Oryctolagus cuniculus: one gene and its partners. The protein of the gene in region 6 interacts with the protein of the main gene of each other region in a biochemical or structural test. Links are inferred from orthologs where the notes say so. Each region holds a gene or a part of one and is shown on either strand. Other genes may lie near its edges. The genes, in order: ARHGEF7, ARHGDIA, PAK2, ARHGAP32, ARFIP2, RAC1 and BIRC2.

Region 1 (4,276 bases), on a different chromosome or scaffold from region 6:
CATCCTTTATTTAAATTGTTTTTTCAACAGATTACTTGGGTACTTGGCCACCTGTTACCGTGTGCATTAGCAACCAAACCTTGGCATTTCTGCTTGCGGCATTTGTCGTCCAGTGGGTCAGTCTGGAGGTTCTGATTGATCCGTCCTCAGTGTAGGTGAGCCCTGCTCCCTCGTGTTTCTGCCCCAGTTAGCATCACTTACCAGAGTGAGCAGAGAGTATAGCAGAGTGAACAAGAGACGGCTGCCGTGTGAATAGAATAAACCAGTGGTTTCCACGCAACTGAAAATCAGGCGAGGGCGCGGGGCCCTCGGCGCAGAGGTGCAATGCTGCTGGACACCCGCGTCCCACGCTGGGTGGGTTTGCGTCCCGGGTCTGGCTCCTTATTCCAGCTTCCTGCATCCGGGAGGCCGCGCTGGATCCCAGTCCTCCGAGCACCCCAGCGTGCGTGTGGCTGGACCTCGGAGATGGTCACGGGGAGGTCCACTGCTCCCGGAGGCTGTCCTGTGACCGCTGGCTTTTTCCCATGTGCGTCTCTAACACTGCATGGTGCAGGCGCCTAACGGTTCCCTTGCGGCCTCCCTTCCTGCCCTGCACTCCAGGCCCTGTCTGGCCTCCCTGGACGCAGCACGGACTTGGAGAGATACTGCCTGCATTTCCAAATGTTCCCGAAACTTAATTTTCTTCTAGAGAAGCAGGGTCGGCATTATCTGTGCTGTCCCCCGCCGCGCCCTCCCCGGAGATGGTAGGAAGCCGTGTCTCGGCGGCGGCGGTGTGCCGGTGGTTTGCTCTGTGGTGCTGGGATTCATCGGTCTCGTCTCTTGTTCCCATCACTCGCCTTTGCCGTGCTCTGTGTTGAGCTGCCGGCTCTCGGGGTGAGGGTTCCAGTGGAAAGCACACGGCTCCCCAAACAGCGGTGGTGGAGGGGGCTTGAGGAAAGCATGGCTGAGAAAGCCAGAGCGGGGCAGCGTGGGGGAAGGACGCCCTCTGCAGGACGTGGGAGCAGCTGGAGCCGCCGTGGCTCCTCCTGGGCTGGAGGAACAGTGGCGGCTTCCGTGGACCCGGCACCACCAGCGCTCTGTGGTAGTTTGCTGATTTGCCTGTAGATGTTTCCACCATGGCTGAATTCAGACTACCAACATGATAAAGCCCGGTGCAGGGCTGGGGCAAGACACGCACGGCACCCCTGCAGCCGCCGTGGGCTCCTTCTCCTGCATGCCTGGCCTCCTGTTGGCCGGACCCCCTGGAAACCAGGGCGGGGGGGGGGAGCCTGGCCCGTGCGGTCCCGAGGTCAGGGCCGGGGGAGCCTGGCCCGTGCGGTCCCGAGGTCAGCCGGCTGGTCCGGGGCTGTTCCACGTCTCTGCTCTCCCGACTTCCCCACCTGTAATGGAGCAGACTTACCTCAATTGTTTTCTGCAAGAACACTAAGGTTCTTTCACTCACCCTGTGGTAGGTGAGATCAGGGAGCCCAGTGGTTCGGGCCGTTTGGTGCACACTTGCTGACCTCCTGTGTCCAGTGAGGCACCTGTGGTTGCAGGTAGGGAGCCTGTGTCCAGTGGACAGGTGAGGTGTGCCCGCGGTGGGCGTGCAGGCAGAGCCACAGGGTTCAGAGGAACGGGCTGTTGCTGGCAGCCCAGGGGGAGGCGACATTGCTCGCTCAGAGTTCAGCCTGCATGTCCTGCTAGTTCTCTAAGGATGGTCCCGGTACCATCAGAGCCTCCCAGGAACTTTCGAGAAAGCCAGTGCCGTGGTTTCCACCTTAGTCCGACAGAAGCAGGAGACTGTGATGTTTGGTTCCCAAACCTGCATGAAATTCAGTGTCAGATGAGGGATTTCAGACACAGACACACACACACACACACACACACACGATGCCTGGGCCGCACTTCCAACACACCCAGCCACATCTCTGGGGGCCCTGGGGCTGGCACTCATGGTAAGATGCTAGGATGCCTGCGTCTCACGTTGCTGGACCTGGATTCTCCCCCAGCTCTGGCTACTGATGCCGCTTCCTGCTAACGCAGATCACGGAGGGCAGCAGTTATGGTGCAAGTAGCTACGTTCTTGCCACCGGCATGGGAGCCCTCGATGAAGAGCCCAGCTCCTGGCTTTGGCCCCCTGCTCCCTGGCCGTTGTGGGCATGTGGGGAGTGAACCAGGGGTTGGGGGCTGTCTCTGTAGTGAAGAATTTCTGGGGACGAGGCTCCATGAGGAGGTAAGATGTGGTGAGCTTTGTCCATTTTCTGGTCTTAATTCTAATTTCTAAGGCAACACCGTGTCTGTGTGCTTCCCTGGCTTGTAACGCCTATTCCCCCTCTTGCACTAACGCTAACACCTTGCACGCACTTTCGAACCCTGGCCGAGGAATGGCACTTTGCTTAGACTGCGGCCACGTTGGTGGCTCCTGGTCCGGAGGCCGTGGTGCGTTGAGGAGGAGGAAGGGAGGCAGCTAAAGTCTGTCTTAACGTTGCTTTGTGATTAAGCTGGAACGGTCTTCTGCCTTAGTTCACAGAAGAATCCGAGTAGTTTGGGGACGTTCAGGGCCTCTGCCTGACGACAGTTCTTGATGGAAATCTGGGACAGGTTTCTGGGACGTGAACTGGGGGGACTTGCTCGTCCTTTGAGGCCCGAGTTCTTTGACCTCCTCTGGAGCCTGGAGCGGGGGAGCCCTTGCTGGGTTGTGAGTACTCTGGTGACGGTGAGCGTGGTGCCCTCCTTGTCCCTGGCATGTCGCCCTGCCACGCTCGACACTGCCCCTCTCCCTGTGACCCACTCTGCTGTGTGCGCATTGTTACCTGCGGCTTGAATCTGCAGTTCCCTGAGCATTAATGTGGAACGCGTCTTCCTGAGCTCACGGTGCAGCTTCTCCGGCGAGGTGTGAACATGGACTTTGAATTGCCCAAGTGCATTTTCCCCACTGCTGTTTCATCCGTGATCAATCATCTCCGTCCTTGAAAACACCTTGGATTTGACAGTGGCACACCTCTGATTGTGCAGGTCTTCCTGCCTCTTCCCTCTCCAGGCCCAACTCAGACGTCACCTTTTGCACTGGCCAAGCCTCTGGCCCTGCCCTGTGTCTGTAGCGTGTACATGTCGCTCCACTGTATTTCCATGGTCCCACGTGTCCATCTGGGGGGGGGCGCACTTGCTATGTAGCAGGCAAGTCTTGTCCGCCTCCTGGAAGGCAGTGACCTTGTCTCAGAACATGACCTGCTACGGAGTCCAGGCCCAATAAAATTGTTAAATTAATTACCCACTTGCTCCTCCCAATGCCCGTGAGAGAGGCTGGGTGTTAGCCTTAAATTGGAGATAAGGGCACAGACCCAGGGAGGTCGATGACTTGTCAGGTGACACGTGTGACACAGCTGGGTGCTGCTCATCATAAAGACTCTCGGACATTACAGGTATCAAACGAGTGCGCCCCCGAAGCAGCCGGCTGCACGTGGCTCTGTGCGGGGACACTTCAAGGGACACGCCGTCACAGGATGGTGTTCAGGACTCACAACTTGCAAATGCAGTTCCTGAAAACTGCCCAGCCTAGATGCCTGTGTCCAGGAAGACATGGGCTGGCTTGGCTGTCCACCTGCCCACTTCCCACTTGACATAGAAAGCTGGCCTTGCACCCATTTGCTGTCTTCATGAGGTGCTCAGCTGCAAGGCGGGACCTCTAGGCCGTGCACCACGTGAAGAATTACAGGTACCCACGATGTTGAGAAACCAGCCGCCTTACTGACCTGGGCTGTGCACCTCAGGGGTTTCCACTGCTTAGCTCTTCCAGGAGACCGAATCACGTTGTTAATTGATGACTTAAATCCGTTTCTTTACGAGAAAGTGTAGAAGGCCTCCAAGAATTAGGTTGTACCATGACAAACTCCCTTTCCATGTACTAAATTTTATCAACAGTGTTTGCATAAAGTAAACCCCAAGGTAGAAATACAGTAGGCCAGCACCGCGGCTCACTAGGCTAATCCTCCGCCTGCGGTGCTGGCCCCACCTGGTTCTAGTCCCCGTCAGGGTGCCAGATTCTGTCCCGGTTGCCCCTCTTCCAGTCCAGCTCTCTGCTGTGGCCCAGGAGTGCAGTGGAGGATGGCCCAAGTGCTTGGGCCCTGCACCTGCATGGGAGACCAGGAGGAAGCACCTGGCTCTTGGTTTCGGATGGGCGCAGCGCACCGGCCATAGCAGCCATTTGGGGATGAACCAACGGAAGGAAGACCTTTCTCTCTGTCTCTCTAACTCTGCCTGTCAAAAAAAAAAAAAAAAAAAAAAAGAAAGAAAGAAA
Region 2 (4,291 bases), on a different chromosome or scaffold from region 6:
GGGTTCCAGCCGGCTCTGGCTTCTGACCCCGGACGGCCGTGTAATGACAGGAGCCGCGGGGTCCCGCCGCCCACGTGGAGACCTGGGTTGTTTCTGACTGGGCTTCGGCCCCTCCGCTGCCGTGAGCTCTGAGAAGCCGCACACCTCGGCCTTGCAACAGAGTATACACGGCAGGCCCTGTTGCATTCAATGTTTTTATTTGAACCAGGATAACTCCATTTTTTTTTTTTTTTTTTTTTTTTTTTTTTTGAAAATCAGAGTTAGAGGAGAGGTAGAGAGAGAGGTCTTGACCATCCGCTGGTTCACTCCCCAGTTGGCCCCAACAGCTGGAGCTGCGCTGATCCAAAGCCGGGAGCCAGGAGCTTCTTCCGGGTCTCCCATGCGGGTGCAGGGGCCCAGCACTTGGGCATCTTCCACTGCTTTCCCAGGCCACAGAGAGAGCTGGATCGGAAGAGGAGCAGCCGGGACTCGAACCAGCCAGAGCCAGACCCGCCCCTGGGTGTGGGGGGGAGCAGGGGAGGCAGTGCGGCCTGGGGGGGGGGGGGCAGTGCGGCCGGGGGCAGTGGCAGTGGCTGGAGATGCTCAGGCCCATTCAGTGTCGGGGCGTCGCCCTGCCGGCCTGCTCCAGGGACCCCTCTGTCCAGGGACCCCTCTGTCCGGCGCTCACGTCCATGGAGCCCCGTCTGCCAGGTCCGCCCAACCCTGCAGGGACGGCAGAGCTGAGGGAACCCCGAGACCTCCAGGGGAGGCGGGAGCAGCCAACCAGCGAGGGCCACGCGCCGGACTCCACCCAGGTCTCCGCCACGGGTGCCAGGGACCCCAGGTCTTGGGCTGTCGCCTGATCTCCCCCAGCCCATTAACAGGAAGCTGGATGGGAAGGGAGCAACCAGGACCGTCCCGAGTGGTGCTCGAGCCACGGTGCCGGTCAGCGCTGCCCCGAACCGGATTCCGGCCGAGGAGCAGCAGATGGGGGCCGCGGTCGAGGCCCCGACAGCTCCGGGGGCTGCACTGGGGGGTCCCGTGCCAGCCCCAGCCAGGGCGCCGAGGGGCTCGCCGACGCCTGCAGCAGCTGTCGGCGGGGCGGGCCAAGCCCCTCGCGTCTCCCGCGCGGGAGGCCTGGACCGTGCACCTGGGGAGTGAACCGGCGGGGGCAAGATCTGACCTCTCTAACTCGGCCTTTCAAATAAATAAATATTAAAGAAAGAAAAGGACAAGCTTCAGGCTCTAGTCCACCCCGGGGGTCCTGACGACGCCCCCCCCCGCTCTGCCGCTGCAGTGGGCAGCTGTGTCCCCCCGCCTGGCGACCCACAGGGCCGACCGCGGGGCCTCGCAGTGGCTGGCGCGGGAGGCGTCCTGGTCCCTCGGGCGCCCACCTCGAGGACCACGCCGCCCAGCGGGAAGCGCCCACGAGGCCCGGCCCGCAAGATGGCGCCCGCAGCGCACGCGCCCTGGCCGCAGCGCTCCCGCCGCGCATGCGCAGCCCCGCCGGCCCGCCCGCCGAGAGCGGAAGTCGCGTTGACCCCGGAAGTGACAGGCGGGCGGGCGGACGGACGGGCGGGGCGGCGGACGACGTTCGTCATCTGCTGCGGGAGGGAGCGCGAGAGCTACGCGGTCGAGCCCTCCGGTGAGTGGCCCCTGCGGGGCCGAGCGCCGCGCGGGTGGGCAGCGGGTCGGGCGCGCCGGCGGCGGCCGCGGCGCGGGGGAGGAGCCGCCTTTGTCCCGCCCGCCCCGCCCTGCGCCCGCGGCGGGTCTCGGCGGGGCGGGGGCTGACAGCGGCGGCCGGCGCGGGGCGGGCCCGGGCGGGGCGGCGGCCCCACGTGCGGAGGGGCCGCGGGCGTGGGCGGGGGGCCGCCCGGGCCCCGCGCGCGCTCCGGCGGCCCTGCGTGCAGGGGGCCGGGCCCGAAGCCCCCTCCCGGGGGCCGCGGGCGCTGCCGCCCCGGCCCCGCCCCGCCCGTCGCCCGGATTGCGGGCCCTGCGGAAGTGCGGGCCCCGCCCTGGCTGTAGCCCGCGGCCGCCGCTGCCGGCCCGGTTTGTGCGCGGGGCGTTGTGCGTGCGCTGCGCTCTGACCGCCTCCAGCCCCGCCCGGAGCGAGCCGGTGGGTGCTCAGGGTTCCGGGGCGCGCAGGGCGCTGCAGCCCCTCCCGGATCTCGGGTCCGAGCCCCTCGGCGTGGGGTGGCCCTCGTGCCCCGACGCGCGGGCGCCAGGAGAGGCCTTGCGGGCGAGGGCGGCCGCGGGACGCGGGAGGGCCGTGGTGGGGGAGGCGGCTGCCGGCGGCCACAGCCCTGCGCGCCCACAGGTGTGCAGGCAGCGAGCGGCGAGCATGGCTGAGCAGGAGCCCACGGCCGAGCAGCTGGCGCAGATCGCGGCGGAGAACGAGGAGGACGAGCACTCGGTCAACTACAAGCCGCCGGCGCAGAAGAGCATCCAGGAGATCCAGGAGCTGGACAAGGACGACGAGAGCCTGCGCAAGTACAAGGAGGCCCTGCTGGGCCGCGTGGCCGTGTCCGCGGGTGAGTGGGTGTGGCCGCGGGGCACCTGTCCGCCCTCGCCTGCCCCGGCGGCCGCGGCGGGCGGGGGTCTCACCGGCCGGCTCTCCCCAGACCCCAGCGTGCCGAACGTCGTCGTGACCCGCCTGACCCTGGTGTGCAGCACGGCCCCGGGCCCCCTGGAGCTGGACCTGACCGGTGAGTGGGCGCCCGCGGCCCTGGGTGGGGCTGGCTGCCACCCTGTTGCTTCCGCTAAGTGATGTGGTGCGGGGCTGCCCCCTGGCGGGCCCTGGCGGAAGTGCGCTCGTGTGCTCCCCGCACAGGAGACCTGGAGAGCTTCAAGAAGCAGTCGTTCGTGCTGAAGGAGGGCGTGGAGTACCGGATAAAGATCTCCTTCCGGGTAGGCCGGGCGCGCCGCGGGGGCGTGGGCCCGCTGACCCCGCTGACCCCGCTGACCCCCGCTGTGGCGCCCGCAGGTGAACCGAGAGATCGTGTCCGGCATGAAGTACATCCAGCACACCTACAGGAAAGGCGTCAAGAGTGAGTGCGCGTGGCCACGCCCCGCGTCTGGCCACGCCCCCGGGAGCGAATGGGGGCAGACCTGGGGAGGGGGCAGGAGTGGCCACGCCCCGTGGGAAAGGGTCTGGAGGGACGCCTGAGGCCACGCCCAGTCTGGTCACGCCCTCGGGAAGGGCGGGGCGCCGAGGCCACGCCCCGCGCCGCTGACCGCGCCCCGCGCCCCGCAGTCGACAAGACCGACTACATGGTGGGCAGCTACGGGCCGCGGGCCGAGGAGTACGAGTTCCTGACGCCCATGGAGGAGGCGCCCAAGGGCATGCTGGCGCGCGGCAGCTACAACATCAGGTCCCGCTTCACGGACGACGACAAGACGGACCACCTGTCCTGGGAGTGGAACCTCACCATCAAGAAGGAGTGGAAGGACTGAGCCCCCCCACCGAAGTGCTGACAGGGCCCCCGCGGCCCTCCCCCCTTGGCCCTCCTGCGCCCACAGGCCCCGCCCGCGGTGGTCTGCCGTTGCTGCTTCTGCCTGTGCTGCCGGGGGAGGCCCGGCCCGAGTCTCCCTGCCCGCTGTGTTCCCCAGGTCCCCCCCCACCGCCACGCCCGCGGCCCTGGCCCTTAGGAGGGAGCGGGGCGGCCGCGCGGGAGCTGGGGTGCGTGAGGCAGCCCCATCCACTCCCCGGCCAGTTCATCTGTCGCTCAGTACCGTCTAACCATGATGCCTTAACGTGTGGAATGCGTCCCGGGAGCTGCCATTCACTCCCCGTGTCTGCCCCGCCCACCGCCCCCGCGACAGGGGAGGGGCGCCAGTGCCGCCTCCCTGCCCCCCAGCCCCCTGGCCTGGCCAGCCGACCCCTGTCCCCCGGCCGCTGGGGCGGGCCACGTTGCCAAACGCCAGGCACTTCTGTCCCGTGGGGGGGGGGCAGGCGTCCCACACCTCCGCCTGCCCTGTCCCAGCGGCCAGCACTGACCCCTCCCCCGCAGAGCCCCCGGCAGACGGTGCGGCCGAGCCTTCCTGCTCTCCGGGCCGCAGTATTTATTGCCTCTGTTCGTGCCGTCCTGGGCCCTCCCGGACCCTGCAGGACAAACCTGGGACCAAGTGCACACCGCTGGGGGCCGTCCCCGTGCCTCCCCCCAGTCTCCGTGTGGCGTCTGCCGGGCTCGGCCTCCACAGCCGCAGGAGCCCCCGCTTCTCCTCCCCCAATTGGGAAATAAACTGCCCCGAGGACCCGCGTCTGCTCGGCCCTCTTTGGGGTGGGCGGTGACCACGGCGCGGGAAACCATGG
Region 3 (3,500 bases), on a different chromosome or scaffold from region 6:
GTGCGCTGTGGCCGGCGCACTGTACTGATCCAAAGCCAGGAGCCAGGTGCTTCTCCTGGTCTCCCATGCAGGTGCAGGGCCCAAGGACCTGGGCCATCCTCCGCTGCACTCCCGGGCCACAGTAGAGAGCTGGACTGGAAGAGGAGCAACCGGGACAGAATCCGGTGCTCTGACCGGGACTAGAACCCGGTGTGCCGGCGCTGCAGGTGGAGGATTAGCCTATTGAGCTGCGGCACCGGCCGAAATATTACTTTTAAAAATTGTACCTGAAAATTTTATTTTTCTCATTCTAAACAAATTTAAATATGGAAGAAAGTTGCCTATAATCCTGTAACTCCGATAAAACCACTATTACATTTTCATCTTCTGCTAAGTCTTTCATTCATATGTTGTTAAGTATTTAAAAAGTGGTTGTAGTAATATACATAATTTTCTATTCCGGTTTTTGTTCTATTATTCAACATTAATTCCTACACTAAATGAGAGGTTTTAAAAACATTATTTTCATTATTACTTGAAAGGAGAGAGACAGACAGACAAACAGACACAAAGAGAACAGTCAGCCAGAGTTTTCCATCCACTAGTTCATCCCCCAAATGCTCACAACATTTTTCCAGGAGCCTGGAACTCAAGTGAGGTCTCCCACATGGGTGGCAGGGATCTGAGTACTTGAGTAATCACCTCTGCCTCCCAGGGGCGCATTGGCTGGAAGATGGATCAGAAGCAGAGTAGGCAGGATACAAACCAGTGCTCTGATAGGAGATAACAGGCATTCCAAGTGGCAACTTAACAGCTGAGCCAAACACCCACACCTAAATGAGGTTTTGGTAGATAATATATAATTTACTCATGAAACCCAACCTTTAAGATAAAAATTCATAGAATATATGGTCCTTTGTTTAAATACCTTCTCTCATTTGCCATAAGATATCCCTGTAGAAAAATAAACTTTGAATCATAATGTGCTTTTACCTCTCCTCCTTCAAGTTTATTTCTTAGCTCTGACATTTTTAGAAAATATTTATTTCAAAGGCAGAGCTATAGACACACATACATGGGGTTGGAGGGAGAATGGGAGAGAGGTGGTGGGAGGGAAGGAGGGGGAGAGCGAGAGGGAGAGAGAAAAGAAGAGAGGGAGAGATCTTCCTTCCATTTGCTAGCTCATTCCCCAAGTGGCTCTAACAGCTAGAGCTTGGCCAGGCAGAAGCCAGGAGCCAAGAGCTTTTTCCAGGTCTCCCATATGGGTGCAGGGGCCCAAGCACTTGGGCCATTGTCTGCTCCTTTTCTCAGGCCACTAGCAGGGAGCTGTTAGAGGTGGAGCATCAGGGACCAGAACTAGCACCATATTGGATGCTGGCATGGTGGGGCTTAACCCACTGTGCTACAATGCTGTCTCCTGATGCATTTCTTTTCTTTTAAGATTTCTTCATTTATTTGAAAGGCAGAGTTGGGGGGGGGGGATTTTCTATCCACCATCTACCAGTTCAGTCCCTAAATGGTCACAATAGCTGGGGCCAGAACAAGTGGAAGCTAGGAGCCTGGAACTCTATCTGGGTCTCCCATGTGGGTGGCAGGGGCCCAACTACTTGGGTTATTTTCTAGTGACTTCCCAGGCACATTAGCAGGAAGCTGGATTGGAAGTGGAGCAGCTGGAACTCGCATGGAGTTCATAAGTGATGCCAGTGTTGCAGGCAGTGACTTAGACCACTCTGCTACAACGTCAGGCCCAGTACTGACATTTTTTTTTTTTAAAGATTTATTTATTTATTTGAAAGGCAGAGTTACAGAGAGGCAGAGGCAAAGAAAGAGAAGTCTTCCATCCACTGGTTCACTCCCCAAATGACCACGAGAACTGGAGCTGGGGCTATCTAAAGCCAGGAACCAGGAGCTTCTTCCAAGTGGCCCATGCAGGTATAAGGGTCTAATGACTTGGGTCTTCTTCCACTGCTTTCCCAGGCACATTAACAGAGAGCCAGATCTGAAGTGGAGCAGCCAGGACTTGAATCGGTTTCCATATGGATGCTGCCACTGCAGACGGCAGATTTATCTGCTACACTCCAGCACTGACATTTAACTGAAGCAATTAGCCCCTTCAAACCATGAAAATTAAAATTTCCACATTTTTAATTCCAATTACCTGTCCAAGAAGTTAACTATGTTGGGATTTTTTAACTCTTTCATCACCAGAATTTCATTAATGATCAATTCCTTCTTTGGCTGTTTCTGTAAATTAATCTGTTTGATAGCAACCTATAATGGAAACAGAATTGAAGAAAACTCAACAGATTTTCTAATCCTCATAGAAAATTACAAACAACAGTTAACAGTTTAACTTATTAAATACATATTATATTATACAATGAGATTGTAACTCATTCACAGTTAGTAATTCCACACTGCATATGCACAACTCTTTGCAATATACAGAACCTAAATATTTTTAGTTTTATCTTGACGTTGATTAACCAATCCAAATCAGTACAGCAGCAGGAATTAACCCTCTTTTCATTCCAAGCTAGGAAAATAATCTTTTAATATTTGTTTATTTATGATACTAAGTTATAATTCCTTTTTCCCCTGTGAGAAATGCTATAGATACACAAAGCAGGTCTCTTCAACTGGAAACAGACTTCTCTTGATTATTCTCAGCTTTAATCTAGTTTTCTGCTACATGGAAAGCTAATAACATTCAGAAGCATGAAAAAGTAGCTACCTCCTGTCCCAATGCCACATCAGTAGCAGTGAAAACTGTACCAGAAGCCCTAGAGGGAGAAAAGATAACAAGATTTAAGGTTTCTAAATCACTGTAATATCCAAAGACTTTACACTTCAAGAAGTCAAAAAAGGATTAAAAAACATTTAAGACATCACCTGTAAAAGAAATAAAAGTCAAAACAAAATCAAAGGAAAAGAAGATGAAAAAGAGGCAAGCCTTGTGACTAAAACTTATGTTTGAAATAGTTCAGAACTATAAAAATATTAGGGAAAAATGTAACCTAACTCATGAATACACTTCCTTGCTCAGGAAACAACTACAAATGACTGTGAAGGTTCCTGCCCATCGTTCCTGAAAGGCATCCTCCCTGCTCCCAGTGGTCACCTGTATTTGATGGCGTCATTTCCACACATTTCTCTAAACTGAACTAAAGGACACAGGGGTATATCTTTATAGAATATACTAGCACTCAGCCTGATTTTTAAACATTATACAGTTTGATTTTACACATTTTTCCTGCAACTTATTTTTTTAATTAAAAATTTTACAGTTATTTGAGAGACAGAGAGCAAGCACTCTCCCATCTGCTGCTTCACTTGCCAACTGCCTATAAAGGGACAGGGCTGGGCTAGGCTGAAGCCAGAGCCCAGAACTCAATTCAGATCTCCCGCGTGGGCAAACGGCACTCAACATTGCTTGTGTTATCATCTAGTATCTCCCAACGTCTACATTAGCAGAGAGCTGGAACTGGGAGCTAGAGCAGGGACTTGAACCCAAGAATTCT
Region 4 (3,500 bases), on a different chromosome or scaffold from region 6:
GTGGACTCAGGAAACAGAATGGAGTTGAGCTAGAGAGGTGTCCTTTTCTTACTATAATAAGGAATGAAGCTTTCAAAACAGAGTCACATGTCCACGAAGTTATAAAGAGCTGTACCTGAAATGCTGGTGTAATGACAGTTATGTTAAGACTGATCTCAGAAGCCCAGAGGAAGTGAAGTCTATGTACCTGCTCGGGACATAAATGGCAGTTGCCTGGGAAAGCCAACCACTGAAGAGGGGCTGTGTAGAAGTGGTTATTGCGGGAACTAGCAGTTTCCTAACAGACAACACAGCTACATTCCCAGGGATCCTGTATCCTGGCTCAGAAACAAAATTTAACATGTAAATTTACGGCCAAGATAAATAATGCAGGTTTATCCAAACCATGTTGATTTTTTTTAATTAAAGAAAAAAAAAAAACAAGCTGCTAATTTAGGAGAACAAATGGGGTTTGAAATATTTGCATTGAGATTCTCATTTACCAAACATTGTTGAGCATGAAACCCCTGAAGACAGGCAAGGCATTCAAAGCACTGACAACAGCTTTCTGGTGCTAACACAGTGCAATGACAATGCGAGCTTCACTTTCTCCCACCTAAGAAGTTTCCTTAAATTCTAACTTAAACAAACAAACAAACAAAATAACCTTTCTGCAGTGGCACGAGCCTGTTCTTGAACTGTGAGGAACAAGCATGAAAAGAAAGACTGGGAAGAACATACAGTTCAGCCTGAGTCGAACGGTCCCACGTTTTATGATGACTCTTGAGTATGTTTAATTTAAAGATGGCCTTCCTTTTTACCGTAATGCTTCTAATAGTCTGACTGATTGATCTGAAGGACCAAAGAGCTTCCTCCCACTCTCATCTAACACACAAGCCCCTTCTCAGCCAGGGCTAATGAAGGAGAAGAGTGGAGCATCCCACTGGGCAAGCTGTGTAGCTGCAGAAGGGGGAACACAACAGTAAGTGCCCGAGCCCACCAGGAAACAGATGCAAACTGCTCTGGACTTGCTAGCAAAGACTAAGAAGCCAAGAGAGAGTTAGGTTCAAATTCAGCTATAGGCAGCCCTCAGGCTCTTACAAATTAGCCCTATGTGGCAAGTGTGGTCTCTGACAAAGTTTTCACTCAGTTTCCAACACAATGCTTTACAATCATTCAGCTCGCTTTTAAAAGACAAAAATGATACAGTCTATAGATGGAAGAGGTGGTAATGAGGCAGGGAAGTGGGGGGGGGGGAGATGCTGATTTGTTTACTTTTATTATGTTTTTTAAATGTGACCAGGGGGTTGTAGCATTTTTTTTTGTTTTTTGTTTTTTTTTGTTTTGTTTTTTAATCTTTTTGGTTATTGAAAAAAATAGACCAGTCCACTGTCCAGCAGAGACTGCTTCAACTCTATTGCTCCCAGGGCTCATTCTGCGTGGACCTGTGTTTCAGGATGCTGCAAGGCCAGCTCTGTGGGCAGGAAGGCCCCCTGGCCCAAAGCTGTCGCATATGTCCTGCTCTGTGGATGGGGAAAGCCAGGGGGCACGTACGTCCCCAGACCTCCCCCTCCAAAGCCCCCCCTCTGGTGCTGAGGCAGGGAGTGGTAATCCTCCAGGTTGTCATACTGGGACATGACAGTCATATTGCTCTGGCGCTTGCCATGTGTTTGGTATGGGTACAGCACACTGGGGTCCCTCTCCACGTTCTGGGTGTGATGGAGTTTGAGGCTGTGACTCCTCTCGGGTTTAGGAGGTGGGACCGTGGACTGCGTGAAGTGCTCTTCCTCCTTGTAGCAGTCTCTGGGGTGTTTCTCTGAGGCCGGAGGCTGCCTGGCTCGAGGCCGCTCCAGCTCTTTGGGAAGCCTCACCTCCTTGTGGTTCAGTCTCAGAGACTCCGGACCGGGTGGGCCATGTTTCCCTGCAGAGTTATGGTAGCTCCCTGGCTCCGACGTGTCTGGAATTCCTTTGGGCCCGTAATCTAACTGTCCAGCTCCCTGCAGGAAAGGAGCCCCATTTTTCGACTCACATAACTGCCTGTGGCTTGCTTCCTGATGTGCCCTGTGCTCAGGGAGGCTGCAACCCATGTCGTGAAGCTTCCTGCTCCTCAGGCTGCTCTGCTTCTGTGGGAGAGAGGGTTTCTCTCCCTGCGCGCTGCCATAGCCTGCGTGGCTGTGGGTTCTGTCTAACTCTGGCTCTGTGTGCTTCCTGTAGAAGCGGTCATCTCCCTCGGGACTGATGACCTTGGCTGGGCGCCGCCCCTCCTTGCCCTCTGCCACCGAAAGAAGTCCAGTTTTCCCAGGATCTGACTTGCTGCGCAGATGGATGACGTAGATCCCACCCAGGTCATCTTGCACAGCTGGAGTCATGTTATCATACTGCGACATGACAGGCCCTTTCACCTTCTGCCGAGCACGGCTCTCTCTCCGGATGGACTGCATGCGGTACTTTTCCATGTCTTCAAGATCCCAAGAGGCATAGGTGTGCTTTACATCAGCAGCTGGCGGCATGTTGACTACATGATGGTCATTGCTGGAGAAATAGCCGGTCATGTTGGCCCGTGGACGAGGAGGCAACCCAGCATAACCGTACAGGCTCTTCCCTTGCAGCCTAGGATTGTAGAAAGCAAAATCGCGAGTGGGTAGGCGGTGGAGGGGTCTCAGCTGCACTGTGCTGTAGGCATCCACATCACACAGGGCCCCGTCTGGACTGTAGTAGGAGCCAGCAGCAGAACTGGAATAGGGGCTATACCGGTAGTGGACCCGTCCGTTCTCAAAGTAAGGCTGAAGCTGAGTTACGTGATAATCTGAGCGGGCCTGGGAAGACTGGTATGGCTTATACTGGTACAGGGGTCTGGGGCAGTAGGCTGGCTCATCATCTGGGGGAACCTCTGTCCGTGAAATGGGAACAGAGCGAATCATGGAAGATGGGGGTGCGTGGAGAGACTGGACCCTCCGGATGGTAGGGTATGGTGGAATATCTTCAGGGTAACAAGTACTCCTAACAGAAGAGCTCGACACATACTCGACCCGGCTGCATGGCTTGGAGTGGTGTACAGATGCGTTTCTTCCTGGGGCCACATAGGTGTTGTAACGAGGCCCCACAGAGGCTGGTGGCTCTGATCTGGCACCATACACTTGGTGTTGCTCCACTTTATTGTGATGTGGAGGTACACTCTGGGGACGGTACTGGCAGTTTGGAGTCATACTGAAATGCAAACAGTTTTCCGGACCAAAGGGTTCGGTGGTGACATCAGGCCTAGCGAAGGAGGAGGAGTACACTATTTTCTGAGCAGCATGCTTAGGCTGTAGCACAGGAGGTGGCAAAGGCATCCCGTCATCTACAGAGGCCGATGAAGAAGTGACAAAGGAGTGGTAATTTGGACTGCTGGTGGCATCAGCACTGTTGGAGTGCATGACAGCAGCGAGCTTACTCTCTGCCGTCCTGGCAGGGGGTACGGGTGCAGCAAAGCCACAGGAGTGCACGGGGACAGACTCGGCTCGCAGGTGCAGCAGTGGGGC
Region 5 (4,228 bases), on a different chromosome or scaffold from region 6:
CCCTGAAGGGGTTCTCCCTGTGGGCTGCAGGAGGGAGGGAGGGAGGGAGGCTGAGGAGTGACTGTCTGGAAGGGCCAGGGCCCAGTCCCCCAACCCTCTTTGGTCTGGCTGAGGCACCTGAAGCTCTGGGGACTTCTGGCTGAGGTCAGCAAAGGCGTCACCTAGTGCATGCTGGGTCTGCAGCAGGCTGTAGAGGTGGGCTGTCAGTGCCCGGCCCAGCTGCAGGACACTCTCATACTTGCGCTTCGTCTCACGCAGCAACTCAATCTGCAGCTCTAGCTCCAGGTCCACAGTCCGGGAGCCTCGGCCAAATCGCTCTGATAATAGTTGCTTTGTACACTGATTGGGAAGTGAGGGAATAGGTCAGAAACCCTAGCACCCTGCCTCCCTCCCAATAGGTACGTACTCCAGCACCCCCAGGCTCCTAGTCTCAGCCATAGATGGCATATTAGGATTTGGGGGAAAAAGTACCCAGGGGGAGTTTTGGGGAAGGGAGAGGGGCTAAATCCCACCTTATATGTGTTGATGCCCCATTTCTTGACAATGTCAAACTTCTCTCCAGCGATGCCCCGAGCCACTTCATCCCCAGGGCCAGGAGGAGTGGTGCTGTGAGATGGATGGCGGCCAGACCCTAAAGGACCAAGTTCTCTGACACCAGCTGCTCTCAGATACAATCAGACATCTCTAAGGCCTCACTCATACTTTCCTTCCAGCACATGAAAATGACTTCCCTAAGGAAGCTTGAGACAACTGAATTCTCCTGCTCACTAGAAGGGACATGTATGTACCTCATGCCCTGAGAATCCAATCCCAATATACATTTGGCTACCTTTGTGTGTGTGTGTGTGTGTGTGTGCTGGGGTAGAGGGAGGTTGGGAGGAGTGTTGCTGGTATGCAGGGCAGGGACAACAAGAAAATACATTGTGTTGGGGGTGGGGTGTCAAAGATGGTGAGTCCTTGGAAATCTGGTAGGCATCTCCATGTGGAATCCCAGTCAGTGACATCCGGGACTGTTTGTTCCTCTAAACTTTAGAGTCTAAAGTAAAACTGAGAAGCCTCACAGAGTTCCAAATTAGGCTTAAGCTTTAGAGCAGGAGAACTTTTGTGAACCAGAAGTCTTAACTTGGTTCAGATGGTTGTAGCAGGGAAAGGACAAAAATGCCACGTCAGGGGCTAACTGGTAAGTGGGAAGCCGACAGCAAACCCTGGGAGCTGGCTTTGGGCTGAGAGGACTCTATGGGGTTTGTATGAGCAGAAGTTCCCAAGCTTTCCGAGATACACTTGTATACCATGCTCCTCCAAACCACTCCTACCCCCCTCCCCACTCAGGCTTCCTGTCTCTGATCATTCATACCTGTGGGGATGAGTCCATCACCAGAGCCCCCATAGCCCCCAGACACAATGCTGGTTTCATTGAGGTTGGGTCCTGACACCATCACCTGCTGGAGGTCCTATAGGCCAGAGAAGAGGGGGGCAGCTGAGGCATTGTGGGAGTGGGAACAAGCTTGGATTGAAGCACCACAGACAGTACACTAGAGAAGTCTGCACAGAATCAGAATGAAGATTTGTAAAAAGGATGAAGTGAGGTAGATAAGCTAAGGAAGGTTGCTGGAATAGGGGTGAGAGCCCAGGTTTTATAAACTGGATTCCCGAATTGAAACAAGAATGAAAGAGAAGCACCTGCTCCAGCCCATCATCTTCAGGAAGCTGCCCAGCTTCGCCGTTCCCATGGATAGGGATCTCCATTGTGGCTGCCTTCCCTAGGATCCCGTCCGTCATGGCTAGGGAAGGGGCTGGAGCCAAAGTCTCCACCCCAGCACCCTGCAAAGCCCAACAGACAGTTTTGGAAAGTGGCCAGCAGTCTGGAAGAGAGAGTCCGCTCCTGCCATTTCTCATGTTTTAGAGGTAGTCCCAGGCTGAGTGTCCTGGAGTTCAGCCACCACTCCTTTCCTCAGGCATATGTATTTCTCCCCCACCGAAGCGCACATTTCTACACACCTACACCCAAGCCTCAGGTGTCTTCTCACAGCCTCCCCACCTCCCAACCTCAGGACCTGGTGCTTGTTCATGCATTCACTCATTCACCAGACATTTAGTGAGTGCCTACTATGTGACAGCCACTATCTGAGGCAATGGAAACACAGCACTGAACAAGAGAGATAAAGTCTCCGGTCTCTTGGAACTTAGCCCCATGCAGGTGCGCTTACTCCCAGCAGGAGCCAAGCCCCCTTCCAGCACTCCAGTGCTTTCTCCCCACTCAGGTATGCTCTCTATTGCTCCGCCTTTCATACTCCTAAAATGTTCTTTCCCTCTTCCTTCAGGGTGGTCTCCCCCCTCCATCTCATACACCTCCTCTTCCAGGGGCCCTCCGCACCAGGCCTCGCTTGAAACAGCTGGTCGCTGGTAAAAGCCTCTCTTCCCCAGAGCAAAGGTGATCCCTTCCAAAGTCAGTTGTGTCTCTCAGGTGTGTGAGTCCCTGTTCCCCTCCCCCCGACACACCTGGGCATCAGGTGTGTCCTCATCCTTGCCTATCTTTCAGGGGCATCTTGCCCTCAGGACAGGTCCGTGCATTCAACTTCCCCTCGCCCAGGCACGTCCCTCTCACCTCGGGCCGGGCAGCTCTTCCCCTCAGGGCGCCAGGCCCGAGCGGCGCGGGGACCTCCGGTTCCAGTTCCCGTCGCGATCCTAGCAGCAGGTCAGGGACTCGGCGGAAGTGACGGCCTCTCCGGGCAGAAGAAGCTGGCCACGTCGCAGATTCTAAGGGCGGAGGTGACGTAGCAGCCAGGGGCAGGGCTATCCTGGGGCCAACCCTTTAGTCCTTGGTGGGGGGGAGGGCGGGGGAGCGACGAGAGATTACTTCCGGGGCGGTACCCAGACCTTGAAACGGAAGTGACGTAGGGCGTGAGCGCCTGGCGGGATGGAGCAACAGCAACAACTGAGAAACGTGAGTGCTGCTAAGTCGCCCTAGAGCCGTGCCGTGAGCTCGCTTTGCAGGAACTGCAGAGAGCCAGGGATGCCAAGGCTGGGAACAAACGGCTATGAAACGTGGTCCTGGGAGGCCTGTGGCTGCGGGGCCTTGAGGTATGGGGCCCATATCGCTGAGTTCTTGGTCCCCTTTTCTTCCAGTTGCGGGACTTCCTGTTGGTCTACAATCGGATGACAGAACTCTGCTTTCAGCGCTGTGTGCCCAGCCTGCACCACCGAGCCCTGGACGCTGAGGAGGTGGGCAACTATGTAGGGACGTTACCCTCGATCCTCAGTTACGGGTCGTCTGCCTCCTCCACCCCCTTCCCCTTCCTCTCCGGCCTGGCCTTCCCACCACCCTCACCCCTAGGCTGCGGTTGGGGAAGGACGAAGCCGGGCCTAACGGGACCACTTTGGCCTCTACTTAACCCCTCTGTTTTCCTTTCAGGAGGCCTGTCTACACAGCTGTGCTGGGAAGCTGATCCACTCCAACCACCGCCTCATGGCCGCTTACGTGCAGCTCATGCCTGCCCTGGTACAGCGCCGCATCGCAGACTATGAGGCTGCCTCAGCTGTGCCGGGTGTTGCCGCTGAACAGCCTGCAGGCTCACCGTCCAGCAGCTAGCCACCCCCAGTCCCAAAAGGGAAGGCCTTGGATGGGCCCTCAGATTGAAGGACCCTGTGGACTTTGACTAGGTGAAGCCTGCACGAGGGGTTGCCTGAAAGTTGGGTACCGTTGCTCCATTTCCTGGAGCCAATAAACCCACCTTTTACTCTGTTTGGTTTATATTATGGGCAGGGAACCTTTGCTCACTGTAGGCACCATCCTTTGTTCTGTCGTTTAGTGCATATCTGCTGGCCTCAGCCCTGACCACTGAGGAAGTGTTTTCTATATGTAGAAGGAAAATGTCTGGTGTTCAGGCAGCTGGTTAAGTCAGGCTCTGTAGGGACAAGATCAAGGTCGGTAGTAACAATAGAATTGTTTCCTTCCCGGATGGCAGAAAATGGGAGCCCTGTCTGGCCATGCTTAAGTCTGCCTTAAAAGATGCACCTGTGAGTCAAATGTGGATTGGTATGTGACTGTTTTTGTGGACTGTGTCTTAATTCTGCTGGTTCCAGGGAAAGGAAGTGTGTGTGTGTGTGTGTGTATGAACAATAGATCAACATCCACAGGGATTTTAGGTACCGCTTCCTTACGAAGTCAGGAGATACAGAACAGAGATGAAATCTGTTAAGAATTCTGGGTGTTCTGGAACTTTATCTA
Region 6 (3,985 bases):
GCTTGGGCCCCTGCATCCACGTGGGAGTCCTGGAAGAAACTCCTGGCTCCAGCTGTTGTGGCCATTTGGGAAGTGAACCAGAGGATGGAAGACCTCTCTCTCTCTGTCTACCTCTTTCTGGAACTCTTTCAAATAAATAAAATTAAATTAAAAAAAAATAGCCAGCTGATCCCAGTTATAAAATGGTTAAAACTCAGCTTGCTTCCAATTTGTGGTATCTCCACCTTTTGCCTTCACTGTTTAAACACCTTTAACTGAAACTCGGGGCCATATTTACAGCTTTAACAATCTGATAAAACAACATTCCAGCAGTATCATCAGGAATATAGCTTACCAGTCGAAAGCAGAAATATATTCTTGGTACGGAAAATTTGGGATTTGGATTTTTACTGAAGAAATGTTTGCTACGTATGACCCCTGAGAGTAACAGTGTAACTTTTTTTTTTTGGCAAAAGTTCACTTTACTCCAATACTACTTAAGACAGTCAAGAGTCAACATAAATGTCAAACCCTCATTAAAATACCGTGGGGACAAGCCTTTGCGACACTGGCACCCCACAGCGCGGTGCCGGGCTTCGATTCCTTGCTGCAGGCCCCAATTCCAGCTTCCTGCTAGTGTGAACCCCGGGAGTGGTGGTGACGGCTCATGTAGTTGGGTCCCTCCTGTCCATGAGCAAGACCTAGAATGGGTTCTCAGATGCTGGTTACAGGTATGTTGGGGGTGAGCTGGTGGGTAGGAGCTTCTTCTCTCTCAAGTAAATTTTAAAAATTAAATTAGAAAGCAGACGGGAAATTCCAGGGCGGGAACAGTGTTTTGAATACTCATACTCCCTCACAGAGCCTCACACAGTGCTGGTCCTGGTCACTTCCAGGCAATCAGTAGAGGCCTGGCCCCTGGGAGGGGCTTGCCAGCCAGCCCCCTGCATGATTTCACTGAACTTCCCAAGGAGGAACCTCTCTGGGGGAGGGGAGGAGTGATGTGCTCTCAGACACCTCCCAACTAAGTGGTGAGATGTGGGCAGGACAGACACACACAGCAGGCATTCAACAAGTATTCACTGGAAGGAACAGCAGTACCAGCAGGAGAGGGCTGGGAGCTCTTCGTGTCAAACACCCTGGGTCCCTGCTTTAGAAACCTTCAAGTCAGAATACTACATTCCATCCCTCGGTTCTGAATTACCACAACTTCACTTAGAAAGAGAGCTAAGCATATCCTAAGCATAATCGATGGAGCATTTATAACTTTTAAGGGAAATCCAGGTCATTTTAAACGTTCCTAAGAAAAAGTGACGTTTTGCTGATGCCTGACACAAAAGCATGGAAGAATTCACTTAAAATAATCCGCTGACTTCATTTTCAATCCCACTTCACGAACGCTTTTCCCCAAGTGCCAAAGTAAGGTTTTCTTTTAAAAAGGTAACATAGCATACACATTCCTAAATAAATGAAATTTAACAATTTTTATTTGAATACGTAGAACTATACAGGGTTCACCTTTCCCACGTGTGACACGAATCCAACAGACATGCATCTCCCCAGAAAAACCAGTGTCCTAACTGTCCTCCTTGCATCCGAAATGCACAAACAATCTCAAACGTCTCCCATCAGTTCTCTAAGCTAAGAGATCACACATTCACTAAGAGGCATAAAAAAAAAAAAAAAAAAAAAGATAAAAGTCGGAAGGCCACTTTTGGGATATGAACCAGAGGTGTCCAGCGCACTCTTCCTCCGACTCTGGACTTGGACCAGTTGCATTCAGAGCTGGGTGAAACTGGTAGTAATTCTTCGAGAGTCCCTGTCCCACACTAAGCTACACAAGCAATGCTGAGACGCGCGATTTTGCTCGGATCACACTGGGATTCTTGTTTATAAGGGAGGGAAAAACACACACACACACACACACACACACAACTGCATAAGACCGGTCTTGTCCTCCTCTGGGGCCTGTAACCCCCACGGGCGGTCCTGGAAAGAACTCCATCCATCCCTGCCGCGCTCAGCCAAGGCCTCGGTTTTTTAATTTTTATTTTTATTTATTTTTTTAAATAACGACCACATTGCAGGAGGTCAGCTTCCGTCACACCTGGCCCCTGACAGCATCTTCCAAACTTTGTCCACGCCAAGGGCGCCACCGACCATGTCGAAGAACCCCACAAGTGGCCAAGTTACAAGTGGCAGCGACGCGGCCGCACGCTGGGCTTCCGGTCACTCAGACCACTGGACCTCCGCCGCCCGCCCCGGCTCCCCGGGCTGGAGGGGTGGGGGTGGGGGGCGACCAGGAGGTTTAGGGTAAATGCCAGGGAACGGCCCCTTCTCGCCAAAATAAAATAAAATAAAATAAAATGATTTGCACAGGCGCCCGAGAGCCGTGCCAAGCCGGGCAGGGTGGCGGGCGGCGTCCGGCCGCCCCGCGGGCCCGGGAAGGCGGCGAGAGGGCGGAGTCCACTCTTGCCCGCGGCCGGCCAGCGGCAGGGCCCTCCCCCCACCAGGACGCCGCAACCCGGCCCGGGACGACGGCGGGTGAGGGGCGCCCGCCCGAGCCCCGCGCAGAGGCCGCGCGGCGCCCACGCGACCCTCGGCGAGCCCCCGCCGGCCCCCCAGAGCCCCCGGCCGCGCACTCACCCGTCTCCCACCACCACACACTTGATGGCCTGCATCTGGGCCGCTCGCTGGGCCGCGGCGGCGGCGGCGGCCGGGCGCTGAGGCGGGAAGCGGCGGGCGGACGGGCGCGCGGCGACGGGCGGGCGAGCGCGCGGCGACGGGCGGCGGGGCGCGGGATGCCGGAGCCACTGTCCACGCCGCCTCGCCCTCCGCGGACTGGAGGCACAAGCCCGGCAGCAGCCACCACCCAAAACGGAGGAAAACTGCAGAGAAACAGGAAATGGCCGCTCCACTCACATCCGGCCGCCCCTCCCCCGCGCCGGCGCCGCCGCTCCCAGGCTCCGGGAGGGGCCGCTCCCGCCCGAGCGGCTCCCGGGGTTCCTCGGGGCTTCGGGAGCGCTCGGGAACGCTCGGGAGCGCTCGGGAGCGCTCGGCTCCGGCCGCGGGGGCGGGGCGGCCGCCATCTTTCCCGCGGGCTGGGCGCGGCCGGGTTTGGACTGGGAGGGGAGGCGGGGGTTCCAGGAACCGCGCTGACGTCACCGACTCCCGGCCCGGCCGTCCGAAGGGCGTGGGTTGTTCCCCCACCTCTTTATTGTCCTGTGTGTATGGTCACTGTCACTTAGGCGATGACATAAGGGCCTTCTAGAAATTTCCGAAGCTGAAGCTATATAAAGAAGGAAAAAAAAAGAAACCATACCATTATTGGGCCATAATCAGTATTCATTCCATCATATTTCTTTTTTTTTTTTTTTTAAGATTTATTTATTTGAAAGAGTTACAGAGAGAAGATGGAGAGAGAGAGAGAGGTTTTCCACCCGATGGTTCTCTCCCAATTGGCCGCAATGGCCAGAGCTGGGCTGATCCAAAGCCAGGAGCTTCTTCCAGGTCCCCATGCAGGTGCAGGGGCCCAAGGACTTGGACCACCTTCCACTGCTTTCCCGGGCCACAGCAGAGAGCCACATCGGAAGTGGAGCAGCCGGGTCTCGAACCGGCGCCCATATGGCGCTTCAGACCTGGGCTTTAACCCACTGCACCACAGTGCCAGCCCCTCTCCATATTTCTTTTTTATTTTATTTATTTATTTATTTATTTATTTATTTATTTTTGACAGGCAGAGTGGACAGTGAGAGAGAGAGAGACAGAGAGAAAGGTCTTCCTTTGCCGTTGGTTCACCCTCCAATGGCCGCCGCGGCCGGCGCTCTGTGGCAGGCGCATCGCGCTGATCCGAATGCAGGAGCCAGGTGCTTCTCCTGGTCTCCCATGGGGTGCAGGGCCCAAGCACTTGGGCCATCCTCCACTGCACTCCCGGGCCACAGCAGACAGCTGGCCTGGAAGAGGGGCAACCGGGACAGAATCCGGCGCCCTGACCGGGACTAGACCCCGG
Region 7 (4,196 bases), on a different chromosome or scaffold from region 6:
CAGTGTAATAGAAACCAGCACGAGCAAGACTCCGTTCTGAGACAGGAACACCGTTGGGGAAAGCTGAGTAGGTAGACATTCTGTAGAGTTCGCAAGAGAAGTCATACTTCATTTTTTGTTTGTTGTCATTTGTCCAAGTTGACAAGATGGTGCTGTCTTCCATCATATTCTGAGTTCTTCAATACAGGGTCCTTGGGACTACTCTTGGGGAGGTAGTTTTGTGCATGAGTAGGTGACAGTATTTCTTGATGGCTAAAACCTTCACATGAAACCTCTCATCTCTTCAGAGACTTCACCACAGAAAGGAATCAAATGACTGGTTGACTTACGCAGAATTCACCACACCTGACTGGTGAGCTTATGGTAAGGTGGGATAAATAAATCTCCTAAATTACCAAGATACTCTTAGTATTCTTCAAGATTGTATTCACTTTTAAGTAACTAAAGAGCTATTTACTCATTGGTATAACAATAATGTAACGGCCTGAAAAAGTTCACGCACTTGGGAAATGTTAAAACTTGATTTTTCTAAGAGGTTTATATTTTCCAAATACTAAGCAACTACAGATTATCTCAATTATGACTCCAATTCGCTTTTGGTTATAAGCTATGAAGCTTGGACATCAGGCCAATCACTGATTATTTCACAAGAGAAAAAAATCTATATGCAGGATTGTTTCCCTGTAAGCACCTTACTATGACATCCAAATTTTTTTTCACTTTCTTCTAGTAAACAAAAGTAATTAAAAGCTTCATTTATAAAAGTCACATTATCTAAAGGCTAATTTCACATAGCTTATCGTCATAGTATTTACTTAAATAGGTTTATTAGCTTCAGTTAACAATTCTAGGGTTAAGTTAGCATCCACCAGGTTTGTTCAATCTATACCTAGTACAGTGTGTATGATTATCAAATGATTTTTTGCTTAAAGTTCACAAGCTATTAACTCCTCTATTTTTGTTAAATATTACCTGTACTTGTTTCCATTTCCTGTAGCATGTTGTCTTTCTAACTTTGCACGCCACTTGATTATGACTGATCAACTGCCAGTACTTTCTTCATAAACTTAACTAGTTAACCATAGAAAGTTCCACAGTACACACTCTTTACACTGCATTTAAAAGTTAACCTGCTCTTTTTTTAAGGACAATTCAGCTGTAATATCAGTCATGTTGTAATTGAGGATGAACCAATTTATCAAAATACACAGCTTGTCCTTTCTAGTGTTATCACAACAGAATTACTGATTCCACATAATAGACCAGTGCTGAACTCCCAGCCTTCGTTCTGAAAACTCAACACTTTTAAAATTTAATTCATACATAAAATTACACTCCATAGAATTCAAACTATATTCCTTTATAAAGTTTCAGGGTCTCCATAGTGGGATTTATTATCTTCAAGGGGAGAAAAAATGGGGGACAAAGAGACTCTTCAGAGCCATAAATCTGAAAAGAAAGAAAAGGTATTTTAGAAAACTATTTGCATGCCACATGAAGCTTACAGATTATGCAATTTATTCAGTGGAGTCTGACTGACACTTTAGACAATATGTTAATTCCAGCAATCTGTCACCAAAACTTTCTAATTGGACATGCTCTTAATTTAAATAAATGCAAAACAGCTCCACAGCATGAACTATATCCATGTCTTTACAATGTACAGCGTCAAAGACAATTCCACACGTGGAAACACTGTCTTCAGTCTCCTCCCCTTTTCTCACTTCAGGATAATTATCTCGGGCACTTTGGTGGAGGCACAAAGGGACAGAACTGGAGACTCCATTACTCCCTGTCTGCAACGGGGCTAGCAGAGACAGATCCGTAAAGCGATTTTTAAATGTTAGGTCTTTCCAGGGCTAGAAAAACCAGCTGGTCTGGTGGGGCGTTAAAGACATCAGGAGGAGCTCATTAATACAAATCCTTAAACCATACCAGCTGCCTCGCAATTCCAAAGCCGCCACCACTACAGACAGCCAACTCGAAAACAAACAGTAACATAATAGTCCCTGCAACCCTGGGCCTGGCACTGTGACCGCTTGCATGAATGCACACTTTAATTACACCATGTCTCGTATCTTTAAATTTTAGCTCTTTATCTACAAGCAGCATATTGCTACTTTTGATCTCTTTAAGCAAGCTGTAGGTGGGCAGGGGATAAACTGGAAGGGAAAAGAGGAGAAACCGTGCGGCTTTAGCCATTAATTTCTAGGAGTTATTTCAAACAACACACAACAGACAACCACCGCAGCAGCGGACCGCAGAGCCTTGCAAAATGTGAGCTCTCGCGTTCCCACGGACCACGGAAGCCTAAGTTTACAAGTGCGCAAAAACTCCCTAGAGCAACTATCTTGATCAAAGTCCAAAGGGCAGTAAAGCAGGCGGCGGCCAGACTTGAAAACGAATCATTTAAAAAAAAAGCAGCCAGTCTCGACTGAAAGTCTTTTGAAGTTGGGGCTTCCGAATTAAATACAAGCCTCGGCGCGGGTAGAAACCACACAGCCCACGGCGCCCCAGGCCCCGTCCTCCCTCGCCCGGCCGCAACACCAGGGAAGTGGGCCCCCGCAGGCCCGCGCCCCGACCCGCCCCGCGCGGCCGGCCCCGGAAGGAGCCGCACTCACCGCATCGCCAGCACAGCAAACAGGGACCCAGCTCGGGGGCCTGGAGGCCTCCGCACAACAGGAAGGCAGTGGGGCCGAGACCTCAAGCGGCCAAACCCGGCTCTGCCGGCCTGCGGCGCTCCCCAAGCCCCCTACCCCGGCGGGGCCGACGCGGACGCACGGTGACGTCAGCGCGTCCTGCGGGTCGCCCACGTCCCCCGCCGCGCGAGGGCGCCCGGGAGTCTGCGGTCGGAGAGCGGAACGGAGCGCTGGGTCACCTCCGGGAAGGAGGCCCGGAGGCCCGGGGAGGCCCGGCGCGGCCCGGCGGGTCCGCCCACCTGGAGCGGCGCGGTCGTTCCGCGGGGTGCTGCGGCTCGTTCGCCTGAACTTGGCGTTTGCACGTTTTAGCCGCGTGGTTGGCGCCCCTGTGACATCTGCCTCTTCTCTGCCGCGGACGTTCTCCTGAGGGGGACGTGGCAGAGCGTGAGCGGTTGCGTTGGAGGCTCGGGAAACCCTGCGGAAACGCCCTGGCGCAGGGACTGCACGTCGCGGGCCGCCCCCTCGTTGGGTCCGGGCCCCCGCGGGACTCTCGCCGTGCTGCCCCTCGTGCGTGTCCCGCAGCGCAGCCCGGGAGCAAGCCAGGGTGCACAGCCGAGACATGCAGCGAGGACGGCGTCAGGAGATTGCTTTTGAAAACTTGAAGCTTTTTTTTTTTTTTTTTTTTTTTTTTTTTTTATCAACCAGCGTTTCTTTTTTTAAACTTTCGGTTTCCTGCTCTGGAGACAGGCTCCAGGGGAAGAGCTGTGTTTTATTTCAAATGTGCATTGTTAGCCACGAGAGTCAGGCTTCAGTCCGAGGATTTGCTGGGTTTGAATAAAATGGAACGTATACGTTATGTACGTGCACACATATACAGGAAGCGCCAAGGAGTTCACTTACGAAGACAAAGGATTTTTTTCCGTATGGGGACGTGATGGAACACGCGTAAATAAACCTTGGTTGCATTAGCCTGGGCCATTTGGCTCTCGTCCTCTGCGGCGTGGAATGCGGCTGCGCTCCTGGGCCGTGGGGTACATGTTGTATCGCGGTGTCTGTGAAAATAGGCTTTGTCAATGAACTCAGATGCTTGCTTCTTTCCGGGGAACTCCAGGGGCAAACATTTCAAAAACTTCCAAATAAGCCACTTAATTAGGCAGCCAGGGGAATTCCAACACACTGAACCATTTCCCATTTCCTGTCCTGTCATTTCTGCCTGCCAGTCAGTCACAGAGCAGGAGGTCCTCTGTTCCATGGTTGGTAGTAAAAAGAAAGTGTGATAGAGGAGAAATGCCACGGCTCCCAATGACTAAAAACTTCCAAAAATGCACATGGGTCTTGGTAGTAGTTTAGTATTTAGTTCAAGTTATGTTTCTCGGAAAGTTACAAAACATTCCCAAAATATGTGGGAAAAGTATATAGCAAGAATTGTTCATTCTGAATTCAAGATTATTTCTCCTTTTCAGTTCTTGTCCTGACCAAAAAAGGTAATGAATGTACTTCTGTAGAGGGGGAAATTTTGCATTTCAAAAGCCTTAGATATTTTTCCCCAAAATATTT

Evidence for each region.
Region 1: the proteins of RAC1 (region 6) and ARHGEF7 form a complex in vitro, tested with the Homo sapiens proteins (2 studies listed by IntAct). The link is inferred for Oryctolagus cuniculus from reciprocal best matches to the Homo sapiens genes RAC1 and ARHGEF7.
Region 2: the proteins of RAC1 (region 6) and ARHGDIA are reported together in a solved structure, tested with the Homo sapiens proteins (2 studies listed by BioGRID and IntAct, with this or other methods). The link is inferred for Oryctolagus cuniculus from reciprocal best matches to the Homo sapiens genes RAC1 and ARHGDIA.
Region 3: the proteins of RAC1 (region 6) and PAK2 form a complex in vitro, tested with the Homo sapiens proteins (2 studies listed by BioGRID and IntAct). The link is inferred for Oryctolagus cuniculus from reciprocal best matches to the Homo sapiens genes RAC1 and PAK2.
Region 4: of the proteins of RAC1 (region 6) and ARHGAP32, one has a biochemical effect on the other in vitro, tested with the Homo sapiens proteins (3 studies listed by BioGRID). The link is inferred for Oryctolagus cuniculus from reciprocal best matches to the Homo sapiens genes RAC1 and ARHGAP32.
Region 5: the proteins of RAC1 (region 6) and ARFIP2 form a complex in vitro, tested with the Homo sapiens proteins (2 studies listed by BioGRID and IntAct, with this or other methods). The link is inferred for Oryctolagus cuniculus from reciprocal best matches to the Homo sapiens genes RAC1 and ARFIP2.
Region 7: the proteins of RAC1 (region 6) and BIRC2 form a complex in vitro, tested with the Homo sapiens proteins (2 studies listed by BioGRID and IntAct, with this or other methods). The link is inferred for Oryctolagus cuniculus from reciprocal best matches to the Homo sapiens genes RAC1 and BIRC2.

Annotation. Positions count from the first base shown.
Region 1 is NC_091440.1:2,147,337-2,151,612, reverse strand, and holds the start of ARHGEF7 (rho guanine nucleotide exchange factor 7), read left to right. Parts: upstream 1-1,476; 5' UTR 1,477-4,276. UniProt on the Homo sapiens protein: Acts as a RAC1 guanine nucleotide exchange factor (GEF) and can induce membrane ruffling. Functions in cell migration, attachment and cell spreading. Promotes targeting of RAC1 to focal adhesions. May function as a positive regulator of apoptosis.
Region 2 is NC_091448.1:1,032,025-1,036,315, forward strand, and holds ARHGDIA (rho GDP-dissociation inhibitor 1), read left to right. Parts: upstream 1-1,491; 5' UTR 1,492-1,624; intron 1,625-1,964; exon of another isoform or gene 1,965-2,095; intron 2,096-2,296; 5' UTR 2,297-2,320; coding exon 2,321-2,510; intron 2,511-2,600; coding exon 2,601-2,684; intron 2,685-2,809; coding exon 2,810-2,886; intron 2,887-2,962; coding exon 2,963-3,026; intron 3,027-3,232; coding exon 3,233-3,432; 3' UTR 3,433-4,233; downstream 4,234-4,291. UniProt on the Homo sapiens protein: Controls Rho proteins homeostasis. Regulates the GDP/GTP exchange reaction of the Rho proteins by inhibiting the dissociation of GDP from them, and the subsequent binding of GTP to them.
Region 3 is NC_091435.1:83,327,796-83,331,295, reverse strand, and holds part of PAK2 (serine/threonine-protein kinase PAK 2), read right to left. Parts: intron 2,763-3,500; coding exon 2,714-2,762; intron 2,251-2,713; coding exon 2,138-2,250; intron 1-2,137. UniProt on the Homo sapiens protein: Serine/threonine protein kinase that plays a role in a variety of different signaling pathways including cytoskeleton regulation, cell motility, cell cycle progression, apoptosis or proliferation.
Region 4 is NC_091432.1:122,591,853-122,595,352, forward strand, and holds part of ARHGAP32 (rho GTPase-activating protein 32), read right to left. Parts: coding exon 1,410-3,500; 3' UTR 1-1,409. UniProt on the Homo sapiens protein: GTPase-activating protein (GAP) promoting GTP hydrolysis on RHOA, CDC42 and RAC1 small GTPases. May be involved in the differentiation of neuronal cells during the formation of neurite extensions.
Region 5 is NC_091432.1:60,403,114-60,407,341, reverse strand, and holds the start of ARFIP2 (arfaptin-2), read right to left. Parts: upstream 2,801-4,228; 5' UTR 2,606-2,800; intron 1,822-2,605; 5' UTR 1,780-1,821; coding exon 1,681-1,779; intron 1,452-1,680; coding exon 1,355-1,451; intron 632-1,354; coding exon 513-631; intron 340-512; coding exon 118-339; intron 1-117. Other genes in the region: TIMM10B (mitochondrial import inner membrane translocase subunit Tim10 B), read left to right, coding at 2,918-2,944, 3,127-3,222, 3,413-3,589. UniProt on the Homo sapiens protein: Plays a role in constitutive metalloproteinase (MMP) secretion from the trans Golgi network. May have important functions during vesicle biogenesis at certain cargo subdomains, which could be predominantly utilized by secreted MMPs, such as MMP7 and MMP2.
Region 6 is NC_091450.1:40,075,988-40,079,972, forward strand, and holds the start of RAC1 (ras-related C3 botulinum toxin substrate 1), read right to left. Parts: upstream 2,801-3,985; 5' UTR 2,658-2,800; coding exon 2,623-2,657; intron 1-2,622. UniProt on the Homo sapiens protein: Plasma membrane-associated small GTPase which cycles between active GTP-bound and inactive GDP-bound states.
Region 7 is NC_091432.1:94,067,251-94,071,446, reverse strand, and holds the start of BIRC2 (baculoviral IAP repeat-containing protein 2), read right to left. Parts: upstream 2,801-4,196; 5' UTR 2,622-2,800; intron 1,450-2,621; 5' UTR 167-1,449; coding exon 1-166. UniProt on the Homo sapiens protein: Multi-functional protein which regulates not only caspases and apoptosis, but also modulates inflammatory signaling and immunity, mitogenic kinase signaling, and cell proliferation, as well as cell invasion and metastasis.